2 linked regions of the Struthio camelus genome follow. The protein of the gene in region 2 binds, or shares a complex with, the protein of the main gene of each other region. Links are inferred from orthologs where the notes say so. Each region holds a gene or a part of one and is shown on either strand. Other genes may lie near its edges.

The links. Proteins that work in one complex are often made in the same cells at the same time.
Region 1: the proteins of KCNMA1 (region 2) and KCNMB4 are in contact, whole or in part, in a cryo-EM structure (PDB 6V22), measured with the Homo sapiens proteins. The link is inferred for Struthio camelus from reciprocal best matches to the Homo sapiens genes KCNMA1 and KCNMB4. Residues at the interface, in NP_001154824.1 of Homo sapiens: Phe98, Phe99, Leu102, Phe103, Leu106, Leu107, Arg109, Thr110, Tyr113, Leu114, Thr116, Val117, Asp238, Leu240, Trp241, Leu244, Pro327, Trp328, Asn330, Gln332, Leu367; in NP_055320.4 of Homo sapiens: Thr11, Glu12, Ala13, Glu14, Lys16, Ser17, Leu20, Leu24, Ile34, Phe35, Cys38, Trp39, His105, Thr164, His165, Val183, Leu186, Ile187, Leu190, Thr191, Ala194, Leu197, Ala198, Lys200, Ala201, Met204.

Annotation. Positions count from the first base shown.
Region 1 is NC_090942.1:41,116,380-41,126,836, reverse strand, and holds the start of KCNMB4 (calcium-activated potassium channel subunit beta-4), read right to left. Parts: upstream 4,572-10,457; 5' UTR 4,518-4,571; coding exon 4,179-4,517; intron 1-4,178. UniProt on the Homo sapiens protein: Regulatory subunit of the calcium activated potassium KCNMA1 (maxiK) channel. Modulates the calcium sensitivity and gating kinetics of KCNMA1, thereby contributing to KCNMA1 channel diversity.
Region 2 is NC_090948.1:27,733,649-27,743,433, forward strand, and holds the start of KCNMA1 (calcium-activated potassium channel subunit alpha-1), read right to left. Parts: upstream 4,906-9,785; 5' UTR 4,730-4,905; coding exon 4,433-4,729; intron 1-4,432. UniProt on the Homo sapiens protein: Potassium channel activated by both membrane depolarization or increase in cytosolic Ca(2+) that mediates export of K(+). It is also activated by the concentration of cytosolic Mg(2+).

The DNA.
Region 1 (10,457 bases), on a different chromosome or scaffold from region 2:
ACTGGAGTAGGCATGCCACACAGTTAATTCTCTAAGTCAAGTAGGGGAAAAGAAAGATGTCCAAGTTTCTGCTAATCCCTGTTGGCTCCCGCTAGTCAATAGAGGAACCCCCCCGCCGCCACCCCTGCAGACTGTACCAAGGGAGCTGAAGCTGATGGCCACCTCCAATTTTTCCACACCTACGTTAATACAGACAAACCCCCATGAAGTGACTGAGTCTACAGTTTCTCGCAGTGGCTCAAGGGCAGTGAGGATTTACCAGCAGCAGCACAGTGTGTCGTGGACGCCAGCCCAAACACAGATCGGACGCTTCACTAGTCACCGGACCTCCCTTCCCAAACTACTGGTGATCGTGGCATAATTTGGTCTTAAATTTACTCTGTCACAGCTCATCTTTGAGAGGCTCAAAAATTAAAAAACAATTCCATTCCAAGCGCACAGTAGAGAGAGGTCATGGAGGAATCAGCAATTTGGTGTGGCATCTGAAAAATGGGTAACGTGACATGGGACCGCGAGCTGACGCAGCATACAGGAACAAGCGCTTGCTAGCTGCTCTGCAGCCCGCCCTCTGCCCTCTGTGCAGCAGGATTTCTGGAGGGCAGGGAGAAAAGCCACAAAAAATGGTTGCCATCATGTAATTAGGCATTTAAGGACACAAACAGGGCTGAATGAATTAGATTTGCAGAGGCCATTTTTTTAAACTCTGGAATTTCCTGTTGAAACATTCGATCTGCACAACCTTCACGCCCACGGCGGGACCCTTCCGGCCCCGTATCACAGCACACGATCGCTGTGCACTTCCACGTCGTCCCGCCCCGGGCTTGGGCTGGGGACGTGCCTTCCCTCCACCCCAACTGGGGCCCCGGGTTCAGCTCATCCATTCGAAACCAACCCCGCTTTGGAGGACTGCGCACGCTGGCAGCATAATTAGTGAGCTGGTCCAAGGGCTCCTGAGCTGCTCCGTCTGCCCGTTCGACGGCCGGGACGCGACTTCACCTCTTTCCTCTGCTATTCCCCTGCCAGCCCCGGGGCTGCAAAGAAGTGAGTCGCACCACACACGTGGTGACGTCCGACGTAACTACACTTCTACAACTACACTTTTACGTTCATGTAGAAGTTTTCCCAGCTAAGTCTTGGGCAAGTTTTTCTGGCACTATGCTCAACTTCAAGCACAGAAAGGGAAAAGCCTAAAAGCAAGAAGGCAGATATTATTAGCAGCTGATACATGCCACAGTAATGTTACTCAACTAAACCTATATTCCAGCCCCCTGTGCTGTGTTTGTTATCAACTCACTGCGTGGCCAGGCGAGCCTGACAAATTGACTTTGGAATTAATCCCCCTTAAACCTTATCTCAGAGATTACTATTGCTATCAAAGCAGCTGAAGAAAGGCTACCATCGCTCTATTTACTGAAATTTCTTCCTCGGAGACAACAACGAAAAGCAAAAAGAAATCCACATATCGCACAGACCGTACACAAATGTAATTGTGCACGGTGCTTCGTACTTACTTTTCTGGATTAATTCTGCCCCAGCTATATAATCTTTTAAGAGCTAAAATGAATCCAGGGCTGTACAATGATGTGATTATCTTAGGAAGGAACAGAAGAAAAAAAAAAAGCGTCCTACAGATAGACCTCAGTAGCGTAGACCGATCCGTAGCTGCAGATACCTTCATACACAAGCCCACTCTGCTACAGAGAGCAGACTGTTTTCAGTCCGACACACTGGGGATCCTCTTGGTGGAGTGAAGCTGCCAACCAATTTAGTATGGTTGTATGGTGTAACGAGCCCAAAACACGCGTTCCTCACACTGCTGATTTACCAGGACGAATAGCCACCCCGTAAAGCTGTTATACAGAACGTACGATTCCAAGACCGTTCAAAAACAAATCGCTCTTTTTCTCCCCCTTCGAGTTAGCTGGAATTGGCTAGTGCGCAGTATGCCGAATTACGTTAATACAAGCAGGTGGGCTATGAGGAGAGGATAGAAACAGGAGGGTTAACAAGGCTCCTTAAGTATTCATTCACAAATCCGTCCATACTGGCTCCAGATAATGACATCCACCAGATTCCTAATCTGTTGCTATAATTCATCTATTTCAGTGTAAAATCCAGAAAGCTCTTAAAGGCAGTAAGACTTTAGGACAAAAATAAAAAGAAGAATATAACTGCTCAGCTACACAGACGTTAAACTAGGAAGAAAAAAAACCCTACGCTAAAGCAACAGCTATACATCACTTCCTCTAAAAGGATATGTTTTCCCAATGAGAACAAAATGACTTTTAGTTTTATTTTGCATTGGTTTTGCATAAAAGCTCCTTAAGGTAAGGAAAATATGTGGAGCACATTTCTTTCTATGTTCTTTTCCACTTAGTTTAATTCAGTTAGTACCACAGAATGTAGTTACATCAAAAAATAGGTCCTTTCTACTCAGTCTCATCTAGAAAACTAGATTCAGTCATCAGCAATCAATATCCTACAGTAAACAACCCACATTTAAAGGTGCGATACTCGAGCTAGAGATAAATGGATTATATTTGTAAAAGCATGCAAGCACAACACGCTGCCAACGTGCAGACCTGTGTTGTTTGTTTATTAGCTGTTAAATAAATACCGGTTTCTGAACTACACAGACAGGCATCCCTCCCGAAGCGCTCAGTGCCTGCCAGCAAAATTCAAGCAGGTGCAACCCTAGTCTGCCCTGGCGCCAGCCTTCCCGGGAGCCAGGAGAAGACAGGACTAAAAAGTTCAAAAAAAAAAAAAAACAGAAAAAAAAAAATATCCCTCAAACTCCTTAGAGAGATCACTTGGCAGATGCTACAGTCGGAGCCCCAGTATGAAAGCCTCTGCTGAAACTGCGGATACTGGAAGGGCTGATGAGCCTGGGCTTGCTGGCGATGTGGTTCATGCCCGCAGCAGAGAGCCGAAATGCTGTGGGCCGGACGCGCTCAGGATGGCCTGGCCGGGGTGCCAGGGCGTCTTCTCCCCAAGTCAAAAGGGCAGCTTTTTCCCTGCAGGTCACTGACTGCCCTCCCGAACACGGCGGCAGCACCTGAGGGCCAAGCGCCCGCTTCGCCCAGCTCCCTCGCAGGCCGACGTTGCACCCGCTTCGCTGTCGGGCACGGTCCAGCCCAGCCCCCTCGACGCTTGGCTCCTCTGAGCAGTCCCAGCGCTTTCACGCAAATTGTGCCAGGTTTTATCACTCTGCTTTCCTCTCTGCTGATTTTTGCCCCGACAACCCTTGCATGCCAACGAGCCTCAAGGGGAAAAAAAGCAACACCCCAAACCCTAAGGTTACAACTTCACCTGTCTTCCAAGAGACAGATCCAAACTGGTACCAACACAGCTGCGGCGACGTTCTTTTCCTCTACCTTATGTCTGGGTGAGGTGAGGAAAAAAGAAGGGGTGAGACTGAAACCTCAACTTGTTTCATTCGACTGCTGCCTCCAATATGGGGGACCAGCCAGGAAGACATACCACCTCCAAAGGCTGCACAACCCCCCCGAAAGCACCAGGCTGCTCCTGGACTTCTGCATGCGGAGGACCCCTGTCCTGCGCTCAGCATGACCTGTCGCATCGCATCGACGTTTCTATCAACGCTCCCAAACTCTTCTCCAACATGCTCCCAATCTTGGGGGTTTTGGCGGGGGGTGGGGGGAGGGAGGATCCTGCTCCTTTTTTTGTTCTTCAGAAAACGACTTAACCAAATCTCCTCCGCTCAGTTAGAGTGCCAGAAAGATGACGTTTACTCAGCATTAAAAGAAAAAGGAGAACAGAAAATTAAATAACTCCCACTTAGGGGAAAAAAGAAAAAGTACGCTGTCATCATACTACCCAGCTTTACTAGGAGATGCAACTTCAGACTTAAAGGCACTTTTGCCCAGACTGTTCTCACGCGGGCAACGCAGAAATTTAGGAAAGAAAGAACGGGGGGAAAAAACTAGCGCTGAGGAAACTTTTGCTTAAACGCCCCCCCCCCCACACACACACACCGCGGACCCGAGCGCACAACCACGAGCGGCGGCTGCCATCCCGTTTGCTTAAACGAGGATTTTCCGCGTGTTTTTTATTCTTGGGGGGGGGGGGGGGGGAAGCAGGCTGCTGCGGGAAGCGCCGCGCCCGAGCCATCCGTGCCCCGGGCGGGTTTTCCCCAGGGGCGCGGGCGCGGGGCTCACCTTGGGGTTGGTGCGGAGCTGCCGCTCGTCCTCGTGGAGCAGGGCGGGGGCGGCGGAGCGCGAGGTGCGCACCAGCACCTGGAGGCAGGGGTAGCGGGCCGTGCCGCGGCAGGCGGCGCCGCACGAGAAGGTGCAGGCGAAGCGCTCGCCCAGCTGCCGCACCGCCAGCACCGTGCAGTTGGCGGCGCCGCCGGCGCGCCGCTCCTGCAGCGCCGGGCGCAGCCAGCAGAAACCCAACACCAGCAGCGACAGGAGGCCGGCGGCGATGAGCAGGAAGCCCAGCCGCATGCTCTTGTCCTCCGCCTCCGTGTACTCGTAGGCCGGGCGGCTCCGCGCCATGGCCGGGCTGTGCCGCTGCTGCCGCCTGGCCGCCGCCGCCGCCCCGCCGCTGGGGCCGCCTGGCAGCCAGCCGCTGCCATGAGGTAAGCTCCTTACCGCTCCCCGCCCTCCTTCCCTCCCGCCCTCCCCATTGCTAGGAGACCCGCGCGGGGTGCCAGCCGGCACGCGCAAAAAAAAAAAAAAAAAAAAAAAAAAAAAAGGGGGGTGGAAATGTAATTTATTTATTTATTTATTTATTTTACGGCTGACCTAATTGAGGCGGAAGGGACAGCTTGCAGCGGGATTATCGAGCCCGGGAGATTTGCTGCTGGGATGGCTATTCCGGATTAATGCCATGCGATGGGGGAGGACCGGGCGGGGAGAGGGGGGAGCAGCGCACAGCCTGGCCTGCCCGGCGGCTTTCCCAGGTGGGGAAGCCGCCGCCGCCGCCGCCGCCGCGCTGGGGCTTTTCCTTGGCACGGGAGAGGCGTCGCGGGCCGCCGGCGCCCGCTGCTCCCCGGGCTCGCCCTGCCTTCCCGGGCCCCGGCCCCAGCCCCGGGCCGACCCGCCGGGCACCGCTGAAGTTGCGGTGAAGCAAGTGGCTCCGGCACCCGGGGAAACACCCCGAGGCAGACCCGGGCTGGGCAGAGGCAAACAGCGCTGAGCAGTATAACGTTGTGCCTAAAGCCAAGTCATGAAAACATGTTACCCTACCCGCTTCTCCTCGCGGGGGCCGGGCCCCTGCTCTCCGGTGCCATTTCGTAATTAGCGCAGCGGTCTGCGAAAGTCTGCAAAGCCTCTCAGAGAGGCTAAGTCTACCTGTGGCATAAGAGTCACAATTACAGAAATGCATTATCTGGAAGTGAGGAAGCAGCTGCTGTTTGCATCGTACCGGGGCTGGCCTGACGTTACCCTACCTCAACAAGACTTTCAGGTGACTCAGCAGGCTCCGATGAGAGTGGGTACTCTGGTCTGTCCGCTCCGAGCCCCAAAGCTGGCATTTGCAGAGTACAGGCAGACCCAGCCTCTGACTCGTACATCATCATTTAAAGGTAAGCAAGATGATAACTGTCCAAACGTTTTGCCCAGGAATTGCTTTTAACAGCAAGATACTGACCTTTAAAAGGTAGCCCTAAAAGATGCCCTCTTCAAAACAGGTCTGCAGAAAGGCGATAGAGCCAAGAAAATACACCCAGCTCACAAACACACTTCTGCTATTACTAAGCATTACCCACCCCAGCAGCTGCAGTAGAACAAGCTCTCCAGCCCTGAAGTGCAGGAGCTCGTAGTTACGTTTTTATTCTGTAGTCTTTATCATAGGTAATTACGTAGAACAAAATGTGGCAATTTGAGATGACAGCTGAGCCAGATGAAACAGCAGACAAGATGGTACAGAAATAATAGAAAAATAAATATGGGAAATCGTACTTTCCTCCAGCCAGGTTTTTCGCTCGCTTCTCCACTGCAGGAGTGAAGCGGAGTGCAATATCAACAACGTTGAGCCCTCGGTTCCTCAAATTGAATATTTAGCAGCATTTGGCAAGAAGGCTTTTAAGAATCCACTCTGTGATAGGAATATAAATGGTTGCATTTGTGCTTGGCTGCACTAATGTACCACCACTCTGTCCTCAGCTTATAGTATAGTAGTCATTTCTAATACTAAAGGGTTTCAGAAAACGTGCTCCAGCTGTAAGCTTGGGAAACGTTTGTATATCGCCATTTTTACCTGTGATAAGTTTTTGTACTAGAAACAGAACTCATCTTGGTTAGTCCTTGGCTCTGTTCATGCATTCCCCTTAGTAATGCTTTGCTCCTAGCACTTTTGGTGATGGTAGTCTTTGACGGTGGACCTGTCTATTCTGTTTTCGTAATGTGAAAACACTAATTTTGATCAGGTAGGTTGGTTGCCTACCACCTGAACCCATCTTCCAAAAGGAAAGCTCCAGCCCTGTTTTTTCAATTGTCTTGCATTTTGTTTAGACCAACTGTGACTTGTCATCATTTTTATCTTTTGAACAGTTGGTGTTAAATCTCAATTCACTGGTTACCTAGCTGAATCATTTGTCATCCCCTGTATATAAAGTACTGTCAGCTGAAACTAAGGCAACAGCTCACTGGGTGTACGTTAACACAGTAACCTTGAGAGTTAGTCTTCCTGGTTGTTATCAGAAATCCACATCTGTGATCTGAGCTGGTGAGGCTATATTTTAACTGGAAACAGACGTTTACCAGGCAACCTCATTGTTTTCAAACTTCTGGACAAATACTAAGTCAGGACTGAAAGTATTTGGATCGGTCAGAAGTGGTAAGTGATTGTTAGTAGCTGGTTTGTAAGAGTAAAGCTGGGTACCTAAAGGCCTGGTTGCAAAGATTTTAGCTCTGCTATCATCTGCTGAAGGCAAGGAGTCAGCACATTGACTCTGAGACCCCAGGAACACGCGTTGCATCAGGAGCAGCCAGGGCCAAGAAAATCAGCGCAGAAGGTTAAGGTAGGCTGGAAAATCTCATTCCGCTGCCAACAATGAGGCACGACAGTTACAAAATCTGACTTCCGCAGGATTTATAGTACTTTCAGATTGTGGCTTATGTTATGAGCATTCTTTGGAAGCCAGTAAATTAATCCAAGCACACATCACACCATCATATTTGCCAGGGTGGGAAGAGCTGAATGTCTAATGTATCTGATAACTAACCTGAGGATCTGGACAGCTACACAAAACAATTCAGATTGATTACTTTCTGCCTTCTTTCAGATCTTTCCCTGCCCTGTGACCACGTGCAGGCTTACCTGTCGCTAGATGCGGGACGCCCATCCGCTGATCACTTAACTGAAGACCGCTTGCTTGTACGTTGCATGGTGAAGGTTCCTCCATCTTGGTTATGTGCACGTCCATATCTGTAGACTGCGTGGGACCTGGCGTACCTCTGTAAGCCTCCCTAGCTAAAAGCCTGGGCATCACTGACCTGCCCAGCGGGTAATACATATTAACAAGACTGTCTTGTCCAGCACAAACGAGGGACGAGACTGGTTCTCCGCAAAGATTTTTGTGTGAGAATTACTTTGCGTGAACAAATGCTGGTAACAGGCAGCAGACTGAAATGAGCTCTGTGAGCCCACGTGCCGTTTTTCCTGTGATAGTGGCCTAGCGATGGCCCTCCTAACACCTCTCAGCTGTCTGGCACCCTCTTCCATAAAAGTGCCAATAACAAACTGTAACATGCCTTTTTGCAACCAGTGCTGTGACGCCCAACAGGAAACACCTTGGACTTCAAAGGGAGGAAGGTCACACCTAGTTGACAGAAACACATGGGGGGGGGGGTACCCAACCCTCTATCCAGAAAAAGAGCTGTAGAGATAACTGAGGAGTATCTACAAAATTTCAGGTATGTTTGCCAGAAAGGACAAATTTGCTACCTTCTTTGCCCAAACTAAAAGCCACAAATATCTGAACATTTTTATAAAAATGTTAACTATCATTTGTCTTTGCATGACTTTTATCAGTTACTGTTCGAGTCACTACATATAAAGTGTTTCTGCAATACTAAATTAGCCTAAATTTCCTGAAGTTTTCATGACATCTTTTAAGTTGTTTTTGGGGGATATAAGTTTAGCGACCTAAAGCCTGCTGGGAATACAGTACTTAACAACAGTAGATTCAGTTGCATTTTACTTTGTCAACAAACCAGAATTTACACACTTCATCCCATATCTCCAAGGAAAAAATGGGGAATGCTTGTGCTCAGAAACCGAGGTATCACCCTTCCCTCATCTGCATCCACAAGAGCACCTCTGGGATGTCTTCCGTTTGCTCTTGATCAGGATGAATTTATAGGTGGTTGAAGGATGATGCAGATAATCATGACAATTGGCTAGTTTGCTGCTCTACTAAAGGTACAGGTCCTGCAGTACAGGATCTGTGTGTGTGTGTGTCTGTGTACACACCAGAGGTAGTTCAAAAAAAGTGATTCTTGCACAAAACTCTGGGCATCTTCAGCAGTAAAATGCTGACATACACCTATGTCTAGGGTTGGCATATTAATTCTGACAGGGGAGCATGTGAAATGTGGATGAAAATGCAAAGCCTAGGAAACTTGGGATCCAAGCTCAGTTAGCACTGCTAGTTCTGAAGTGGATTGAATCAGTAACATTGAAAACAATGGCTAAATGTATTCCAACTTTACTTTCAAAAAATAAGCTTTAACTGCAATAACCTGGTTTTAGAAGGTAAAATCAAATCTACTGAAGTAATTCAAACGGTGGTTTTAAAATAAGAAATCTAGCTGCATTTCCTCTAGTCTTTTAAATATAGCTGAAGCTTTCAGATTTGTGGAAAAAAAGACTATAGATTCTTATCAAAGGTAGGGAGAAACCCAAACCCCAGCTACACCATTTTAATTCTTGTGCTATACAACCAGTTAATTCACATTAACTGCTTGCCCCAGTCTGCACTCTTTACCAGCATTTGAATTTTACCAGTGCAGTTTTTCGGGAGGAGGAAATACTGAGAAACATGATGAATGGATATGGCATTTGAAAACAAGAGCACATTCAAGATTTCATTAAAAAAACTGATTGTCATATTTAGTATTTTAAATCAAAAGCAGTGTCTAGCTACATTATACTTAGCATCACAGCTGCGCGTTTAAAAACTCTTCTTGAGCGTGGCAGATAGCAATCACGTTTTCTTTCAGCTAACAACCTGCCATAAAAATACTTTCAGTTAGGAGTGAATTATAAACTAAATTTAAGTGCTTTTTACTTTAGGTGATAAATATCTTTAAAGCATTGTTATTTAGGAATTGAATACCCTTCTTCAACAGTCATTGCCACCTACATATCAATGCAATATCCAGCTGACTGCTGCAGAGACCTGTGCCTTTCGGTACTGCTTAGGTCATTCCAAAGATAGTTTCAAGTTACTCTTTTTGGTTAAATGGAACAGAGCCGAACAGCACACCGCAAGCATTCTCAAAAACAGTTTTTAAACTACAGTACAAATATTTTATATGTTATTTTGGGTAGGTTTTTTTTTTTCCCTGCAATCATAAATGTAAAAGTACAAAAAATATGGGTTGGGGGAGGGATTTTAAACCTGACATACAGCAAAATGATATAATTATACATCCTTGTACCAGATAGAAGTCAAGTCTGAATCAGTGGTGTGGGTCAGTCACGAATCCTAACATGCACCTGACACTTCAAGTAACTCAGGTCACAGTCACATGCGCGAGCAGTTTTAACCATGTGAATATCTTCAGGAGTCACTGGATTACTTGTGTATTCAATTAGATCAATCAAGCACAGGAAGGGACTCACGTGCTTAAGTATTTGTGGCGTCAGGTACCAAGGCAGAGATGATGAGTACTGAGTGGGGTTTTTGTGGTTTTGTTTTTTTGAAACCTCTTAGGTGCGTTGTCCTTACCTCCTCCCTGCTTGATTCCTAAACCTGTATCCAGTGGGTAAAAACCATTTTACACTGGAAATCCAGGCTAGTGGATGTCCAAAGAAATGCAAGCTGTTTACAAATATTTGAGTTATTTAAATAATATGCAATAATGAGACACAAATATGGGAATATTTGTGAAGCAGGCCAGAAACATGAATACTTCTAGCTGTTTTCAAGAACGCCAGCTTTACTATTAAGAACTTACCTTGCATGTTACATGTTACTGTAATTGAGAAAAAAAGCTTAAATAAAAATATTTTCAAAGTAGCTTTCTATTCTCTCCCATAATTTATAGTGACAGTGGAATGAAAAGACACAGAAAGAGCCTTAGACCTTAACTGTCAGTTTTAAAAATCGCTTGTGTGATTTAGTCACCGAAATGCAACATTTAAAGAGGGTTGAGGCTTTCTTCCTTTCAGCAGAAAAAAAAAAGCAGTATAGTTTTTATTTTTTAATTATTGTGATAATACCTGCTAAGATGTGTTTTCAATTATATACATTGTTTTATACTTAA
Region 2 (9,785 bases):
AGCCTTCCAGTTGTTCCTATGCTTCTGTTCAGTACATCTTAGAGAGAGTCTAAGTGAGATTGCTACACACAGATTAAAATACAGGTACCTCCTATGTTATATGTCCATATGTGCCCCCAAATGTACTCTTATACTTCTCTGAAGTTATGAGAATACACAGTGCCTTGTTTTGGGTTTGTCTCCTTAATTGGGTTTTTTTCTTTAATTTTATTAGGAGAGGAGATTTCCACAGGTATTGCTAGGAATTCCAATAAAGCTGGTTATTTGAGAGCCAGTTTGGTAGAAACATTTCTTCCCCTACAGAAAACTGCCGTTTCTCCCCTTACAAACTTTCCCAGGCTTCTTAGGCCTGGATGAAAATTCTTAACTTCTCAAAGGAAATATCTACCAATATTTTACTTCCACTGAAATTTCAGTTTTTATATTCAAAATAAACAGGAATGTTGACAGAAACTGATCGTTTCTAGCACTGTATAATTTATTAAACTTCTGAAATATGCAATCTAATATCAAAGAAGACTACTGTGGCGAGTCACTTGAGGCAAGTGATTGCCACCTATAATCGTAACTGAGTTTCATTTCATAGAGTAGTGGGTTGCAGGAAAAGAAGTCTTCAGCAAACTGAAAATGCTCCAACATGAGCACAGTGATAAAGATACCTTGTACCTGCTGGACTCTTGACGGTATAAGGTGAAAAATGAGTTCTGGTCTCTGGGGAACCAAGGAGCAGTGACACAGGGTCCACTCTTCAAAGGGGTGTGTAAGTTTCACTGCGTTCTGAACCTGGCTGGCTTCAGGAGCCTGTTGTGCTCCAAACTTGTGCTTTCTCATTCCACTACACCTTTTCCTTGTTTAAGAGCTTATTCAAAGCCAAAACATAGTATTACGTAACGTCTGTAGAAAATGCCCTTCAGGAACATGGAAAATGGAGTAGCAGATCCATATAATCAAAAGAATTACAGATTTTGTAATATGTATTTAGCCACTGGGGTAACTGTACTTAATGTTACATATTTATTTTCTTTTTCTGTTATTCCCATAAACAACAGCAACTAATGGTGTCAGCGTCTAGCCCATCTAATATCAATCTCACTTTATACTTTTAATATATAAAGTTAGGAATGAGTTGGGGGGGGGGAAGCAAACTGAAGACAATTTCTTTAACAAAACCTAAGCATTTCTTAAAATGCAGATGCAAACACTGAGAAACAAAGAGCATTTTTAAGTCTCTACAAAATGACTGTAGTTAATTTTGCAAAAATCAAATCTTAAAGTATATACCACATTAGATAAAGAAAAAATACAAGCTTCAATTGTAAACACCCTCATATTACATGAAACACTGACATAGGTCAAATTTTACATTTTTCTTTCTGGCAGATTTTAAAAAACACCATCTCACAAAGCAAGCATGGAGCATAAAACATCCTGTAACTTCAGCAATTTTTTTTTGTCCATGATTAATATTAATGTGCTATTAGTATACAATGGCATAAATTGGATCTGGAATTTTAAGAAGCAATGTTATCATTCTGTTATCAGAAGTTTTCATACTCTTTTGACTTTCAGTACACATCTCCAAGAAAAACGAAATACTATAATGGAATTTCATACCACAAAGTGTTAAACAGAGTGTTCATAACAGGTTTTAAAAATTCAAAAACCAACCTTAAACTCAGTAAGTTAAAGAGAAAAAAGCATTCTGAATCCTTCTGTGCAGCCATTAAAAGGGCTACATCCATAAAATAAAGTTGACAATCACCTACTAGCCTGAGGAACACAGTTTTCTGCTAAGAATATAGCAGGGAAAAAATGAAATATTTTTTTTTCCGCTCATTGTAATAACATATATGAACACGGCTGTGAACAGTAACCCTGTGCCCTGTGACTCTTAGTATACATGCAAATTATTTAGTAAGAAACCACAGAAAGCAGACATGAGAGAGTTCTTTTAGCTCACTCGCTGGGAGCACTCTTTAAGCAGATGATGAGAGCACTATGACAGCACTACAGCACTATTACCCAGCACTAATACAACCTGTGGAGCGGGAGAAAGGGAAGAAAAGGTCCTAACATGCAAAAAGCTTCTTCAGTTCCATAGCAGGAGGAACTACTTATTGTAAAGTTACTTTTGCTGCGAGCTCCAATATAGTAGACATAGCACAACTGCTCGTTCACATTTTTCACCTGCAGCCTTGGCAACCCTTCCCAAGTTGTCAAGCAGCACAAAGGATGTGTTTGGTAATAGCAAAGTTTAAGGCATTACCAGTTTTTACTTCAGTTAGCCTGTAAACCCTAACTATTAGAAAAGTGTTCTGCAAAAACTACTTACTCATTACACATACACAACTCGCCCTGATTCCCCATTTTAGTGTGAAAGAATCAGGCCTTGGAAGTTACTCTTCACTAAAGGCTTGACAACCTTACCAGTGCAATAGACAATCTAAAAAGTGACATATATCTCCCCCTACCTGCAGAGTCCTCCATTCTCCTGCCCCTGGGAATGATATTCCTGGATGTAGCTACTTTAGGTACCAAACATGAAATAAATCTTACGGTCTGACATAACTGTACTCTGTCAAATCATTCAAACTGCAAGTGCTGGGACCCCTTGATGACAGCTGTTATTTAGCTAACTGATACATTTAGCCTGTCTGAGATGTTTTAAAGACAACTTGGATATGCCTTTCTATACTGTTTAAGAGATGGATGATCTGCTTTACTGACTATTTCTCATGAATGGACTATCAGACTGCAGATATCCATGAAGACACTATGCATAGGAAGTCTGTGCAGAAGCAGCTAACTCCAATTTTTATTCTCTCAAGCAAAGTAGCAGGTGATAGCCTCTAGGATTTCCTTCTTCTTTGGGACCTCTTATAGTCCTTGCAGATTTGTCTCATCACAAGGAGAGGAAAATGCTAAATATACACAGAAGAAACTGAAGACAAATCATAGCTACCCCTTCCTTTCTTACGGATTTCCTTTTACTATGATAGGAAACAGTATTTTACAAAACTTATTTACTATCACAAATTCTTTTTTAGCTTTACCATCATAGCTAGCTAATATGTCTCTGAGACAAAGTTCAGATTTGGTTTTGGTTTTGAATGAAATAAATAATGTCTCTACAGAAGAGATATTGCCTAGTATGTTTCCTGAAACTTAAAAGTTGAGTTGAAAGTTTCTATTTATTCTGTATTGCTAACAATCATTTCTTCCACAGATATGACAAGTTTTTTACAACTGTTCTGCTTCCAATTTTAACAGATAGGTTCTTGTGTAACATACAGGTAATCCTAATTTGATACTTAGCTAACACAAGGAAAGAAAAGTACCCAAACTTCTCAAACTCTGTAACTTTTTTCTGGTTTCCCGTAAGTGTTAGTTCCTTTGTACAGCTGGGTTATGCTATGTCAAGTGTGTTTAGGGGGAGGGGATAGGAGAAAGGGGAAGACAGCTCACTGTACGTCAAAGCAAGCCAGCAACCTAGCAACCATATATTAAAAGGTGTGTGTGTTTTTGCGGGCGTCTGTGTGCCAGGAATAACTGAAGCAGATATTATTCCATTTGTAATCCAAAAAATGCGAAAAGGGAAGGGGAGAAACTCCAGCTGCTGGTCTATTTTGGGGTCTTAAAATTGCCTGTCTAAACCCACTTTCTCAAATACAGCGTCTTAACACTTTCTATCCCATTCGTCTTGAGCAGAAATAAGAGTCTGGACCTGACCAAGTTCTTAGCTTTGGTTTGAAGGAGACCTTTCAAACCAGGAGCCTACCTTGCTTCATGTATTATGCTTCCTTCCAGAGGTAATATGCAAAAAACTAAGGGGCACAGAAGTTATCGCAAAGATTTTGCACTTAGAAGAACATTGATCTAGTATGTTACTTACAAATTCAGCAAATGCAAGTCTAAGGGAGCGAAACTAGCTTTTAAAAGATTTACTCAGTTGAGAAGTTTACTTCTCTGATTTTGCCAAAGTTTGTCATTTCCTAGGAGAACTGACAGCTTTGTCCAGCAAATAAACACCCTTCCCAATACTCTTCCCCATCATACATGGTCTCCTGGGGGTGCGTAGCAACTTCTGAACCGCACTGTCCCAGCGTGTCAGCATGCACCTCGCGGAGCTGGCGGGCGGAGAGCAAGCACAACTTTCCTGGCCCCCGACACTGAAGAGCTTCTGAGCGAGGTGATGGCAGAACGGGAGGCGGGGGGCACTCGGAGGGCCCCGGCACCCCTCCTGCCATGCTGCCCCCAGCACAGTGCCGAGACCACCTGAAAGCCAGCACACAGCCACCACGCAACAGCCACCCTGCATCTCCTCCAGTGCCACCTCTTCAAGGTGCCCTGACCTAGGTGGCTGGGCACCCCCTTGCCACCGCACTGAGCCACCGCTGCACCCGAAGGGGATGGGGCGGGGGCGGGAGGTTACCTTGTTTTTGACCCCGCAGTGGCAGCAGACAGTCCACAGGTACTTGAGGGTCCTCCACAGCAGGATGATAAACAGTCCCCCAAAGAAAGTGACCATGGACGAGGCAAGGAAAGCCCACCACATGCGCTGTCCGCGGCTATCGCAGGGCACCTCCATGGTCACCGGGATGATGAGCGCATCCATCTTGGGCACATTGACGGGGGAAGAGGCCGAGTCTGTGTTGAGATTGTTCGCGTTGATATTGTTACTCATTCTAAAGCCGCCGCCGCCGCCGCCGCCGCCGCTGCCATTTGCCATAGCTAACAGCGAGCCGGGCGCGCAGGGGCTTCCGAGAGCTCCTCCCGCCGCCAGCGCCCCCCAAAAAACCCATCACCAGCCATATTGCTGCTGCCGCCGCCGCCGCCGCTCAGCGGAAAAGGGAAAATAATAATAATAATGAAAAAAAGCCCAAATCAAAACAAGCAAACAAGCAAACCAACCAAAGGGGGGGGGGGGGGGGAAGAGGCGACGGCACAATCCCCGGGTCCCTCTCGGGAGCCGACAAGCCGGTGAATTCCGAGCGTCCTCCTTGCACGGCGAAAATAATAACGATTTAAAATTAAAAATAAAAATAATAATCAGAGGGTAGTCTCCTCCTCAAATTCCCACCCCTTCCTCCTCCCGCATACACAGCGCCCACCCCGCCCACCCCCCAGAAAAAATCATCCAGCACCACCACCACAAGCCGATGCCTCGGAGCTTCTCTCTAAGATACCCAGCGCTGCAACCCCGCTGGCCTCAGCGGGGATCTCTCAGCCTCCGCCGCGGATCTTCCTGGAGGTGGTCTGTTATTATTGTTATTAGTCTTTAACTTGTTATTAGCGACACTCGGTCCCCCCCGCGCGCCCTCCTCCTCCTCCTCCTCCTCCTCTTCCAAGTCCAGCCCCTTCCTCTCCTCTTCCCCCCCTCGGCGCTGGCAGCAGCCTCCTGCGGCTCCTAATTCATCCTCCGCCGGCCCATCCGTGCGCGTGCTGCCGCCGCCTCCCGCATCCTCCGGGCGCTCGCTCCGGGCCGCGGCTCTCTCTCCGGGCTGTTGCTCCTACGCGCGCAGAGGCACCGCGGCCACCGGCTCCCCGCCCCTATCTGCCGTCGGGGGGACGCGCCGGCGACGGCCCCGCTCCCGGGGGCCGGGGGCCCCCGCGCGGAGGGGCCGGGGCGGCGCGGGACGCCGCGCTGCCGCCGGGGCCGCGCCGCCTCAGGCGGGCTCCCGGCCCCCCATGCCGACAGCCGAGCGGCGGCGCCGCGCTCCCGCCCCGCGGCCGCGGGGCCCCGCTCTGCGGGCCGCCGAGGCACCGGCCAGCGGGCGCGCGGGCCAGCGGGCGGAGGGCGGCGAGGGGCCCGGGCGCTTCACAGGTAGCGGCGAGGCGGGGCCGGGCTGCGGCGCCGAGCTGCCAGTCCAACAAGTCGCCGGTGGGCAGACGGCCCCATCGCTGCCGCCGCCGCCGCGGCGCACCGGTCTCCGCAGCCGCGCTGGGCGGGGGCGGGCGCGGCCCCCTGGCGCGGCCGCGCGAGGGGCTGGTTTGGCGGATGTCATGACGCAGCGGCTAACGCACGGCGCCTGTCACGGGGCGCGGCGCCCCCCCCCACCCCCCGCGCCGGCGGTTACAGCCGTTAGCGGGTGTGTGGCCCCCGCCGCCCTCGCCGGCACAGGGCGCACGGCGCGACATGGCCGGCGGCTCCGCCGGGCCGGGGACCGCTCGGGGCGCCCGGGCTCGGGGCGGGGCGGGCGCTCGGCTCTCGCCGCGGGCGGTTGAGTTGCAGCAGCAGGTGCCGGGGATGCGGAGGGGGTTGCTGGGTTTGAAGCGCGGCGAGGGAGAGTGAAATAAATATCGGGGCGCCATGGCGTGCCTCCGTCCGCCGAGAGTTGCCTGCTTCAAGCTGACAAGGGGAAATACTGCAAATGCCCCACCAACACGCTGTAAATTGTTGAGCATCCCCAGCGCGTTCCCGAAACTGACCCTTGGAAATATAAATAGCAATTTTAAATGACACGCCCGGGGCGGGGGGGAGGGGGGGATCCAGTGAGAAAATCTGCATAGTTGTTTCCTGCTTTTTTTCAAAAACGATACGCCGAAGGTGGGGGGAAATCCAGCAAAAAAATCTGAATAGTCATCTCCTGCTTTTTCTAGATTCCGGTTGAAACAGAGAATATACATACATACATATGTACACGCACACATTAATCTTGATTTGGCACATGCTCTGCTAACCCTGTTGTCTGCACAGGCTATTATGTGGATCCTCTTGTCATCTTTCCAAGGGTAAAATACCACAGCCTGTGTGTGCATTACACTTCCCCATCTGATCTAGTCACTACTCATTCACAGAGCCACCATTATGAAAGAGCAATTTCTTAACCTTTAGGAACACTACTTCATGCTTCTGCATCAGTCCTGGGTTTGTTTATTTTTGGTTTTCCACTTGAGAGTTGGAAATGAGATTTTATGAGTCCTCTAAGGTTTTTACAGGACTCCCTAACCCTCTCACCTCCAGCTCTTGTGCAATGACATTTGTCTAACTTTGTGAGTTTGTCCTGGTGTCTCCCTCCAGTCTAGCCCGTCAGGAGAGGGCTTCCTTTTCAAGAACCGATTAGCAGAGGCCTCTGAGGAGAGACAGCATCAGACAATAGGGTAGAGGTATTCTCAAGTGAGAAAACACGACGTTACTGTATCCCAGAGGAAAGCTGATAGTCCGTTACACAATGCCCCGAATGAACCAGTTCCCAGGAGGCTACCGCAAGAGGGGAATTAAGTGGAGGATTTCTAGATGCAGAAAACGAGTCAGGCTGAAACGAAGCTGCCTGTGAGAGGTGCCACCTGAAGCGCCAGCCCATGGTGCCACAGCTCCTAGCCTCCCTGCAGCGGGCCACCACCTGGGGACAGCCTGTGGCTGGGCAAGACCCCTGCCTGGGCAACACACGGGGCCACCAGCCTGGCACTGCCCCGTGGTCGCTGTTGGTTTCGGGGCTGGGGTTGGGGGAGCACCCCTCAGGCAGGTGTTGCATCTACGTGAGGATCCTTTTATCCATCAGCAAACAACCGAAGTGAGGCAAAGGCAGGTGCATAGCGATGCACAGCATGCAGCTTTCATGCAGCTTTCATGCAGCTACCATGCAGCTTTCGGAGCAACAAGGTGTTCCAGCTACATTTCCCAGAGCAATATATTCCGAGTAAACACAAAAAACAAAGATTAGTTGTTCTATTTAATATTTCAACACAAAAGCTCAAAATGAACTTATTTAGCTGAATAATATTTACAAAACATAATGAACAATGTTTTTACCTGCATTTTTCCTGTTGGTACCAAATAACATAGCGTGGTGATTTGCAATCATGCCAGCCTGACATAAAGCTGGATGGTTTGGTTCCAGAAAGCAGTATTTTAACAGCAAGGAAATAACTCCTCTTTATGTAAAACAGTTCCCTCTTGTGGATATTCTGTGTACAGTGTCACAGACAGAAAGTATTTAAAATATTCATCAAACCTGGACCTTGGCAATTAAAAAAAACCCTCCACTCCAGCACGCAGGACAATCTTGCTTTTAGTTACTGAAAGTGCAAGTAGGGGAGAATGAACTATTGTATTTAATCAGGTATAATTTAGCTGTAAAACTACTCAGCATCAATAGCATTTCTTTTTAATTAAGTGCAATAAAACCAGAAAAGCTAAAGAACGGTTGCATAACTGTACCTGTATGAGTCAAGTGTAAACCAGGGTGGTTTTATTTTACTTACACAAGGAAAAACTTCTTCATATTCCAGGAAGAAAACAATGATTAAAAGAAAGAAACCATATACTATATAAAGAAAGGAGATAATAATGGCTAAAACTATAAGGATTTCCCACTGTCCCTGAACTCTGTGCTAAAGTGGAGTGGACAGAGAAACTCCTTAGAAGAATACATTTTTCAATTAAATTAAGGAGTCCAAACTAATTGTGCCAACACAATATTGTACCAAGGATTAATTTGGCCTGATGCTTTAGAAAAATCCCATGAATGGAGCAACAGTGTAAGATATATATTTCCTAAGCATTAATTACATTATGCAAATAGTAGTTTTTCCTTAAAAAATGAAATGTGAGAGAAAAAATGTGGAACATCCCAGTTTTACCAATAGACATCTGGTCTAACTGAGTTTGGGGAAATGATGGAAAATCACTGCATGTTATTATCTTGAGGGAAGTAAACATATGCTGAAAGTATCTGTAAGACTCAAATATACCATAAACTTGGCTGCCACAACTTGTTAGTTTAATGGTTGTATTTAAAACCTTCCCATTTGATAACGGTAAAGAATAAATGTTGAACAAGCAACTTAAGGTAGGGCTTAAAGACAAATACTTTTCCAAGGAAAAATGTCAACATTCCAACAATAGGTATGTATTTATTCTCTCCAACACCAGACTTCTGGTTGCTGCCTGAATAATCCCATATAGAATGCGCTTTTGTTATCCTATGTGATAGTTTAACCATCATAAATAATTACTATTTGTAACCAACACTCTCCCTCTTTACGTTTTTGTTGTCACAATGGGACATGCTATTGGCTTTTAGAGAATTTAAGTAGCTGTGGCAGAGAAAGACCTTATACACAGAAGTACGATTAAATAATAATAAAAGTTATTTACTAGTTAATTGGCTAGATCTACTGAGGTCAGTGGGGCATTTGGTCTTGACTTTAAATGATGCGGGCACAAAATGAACTAGACTTTCATATTATCACATCTTGCACAATTAAATCTGAGCCTGGCTTTTAATGCTATTTCTTTCCTCCATGCTTACCTTTCCTAGTTTGTACTGCGAGAAGGGCAAAAAATAACACATTTCCAGTGACTAGACAGCTATAGGAACAAAAATTTGTCTTTAAAGAAGTCTGAGAGATTTTTTTTCTGAATGCAAAATGTTTGCTCTGTGAGACACTGATGAAGATGCCTTGCTGATGTAAAACACACATAAGGCTGGATCTGCTGTCCTTATCCTAAAGACACTATAGTGGAAATACTCAGTTATGCAAGGGGTGATAGTAGAGTGTATATAAAATTATCATGTCTGTATATAACTATATATCTATATCTATATCTATATATATATATTTGCATATAACAAATAATTGTCTGTAGCTTTTGTTTCTTCCAGAGAATTTAGTCAAACTACTTCAGTTCATATTAAATGAAAAACTTGTTTACCATATTTTGCATATATCCAATCCATGTTCAAAGGCTGAAGGACATATTTAGCATGATAATAAACTAGAGTCTATAACACTTTTTATCAAAGCACTTTGCAAATACAAATAAAATCAGTTTCATCACA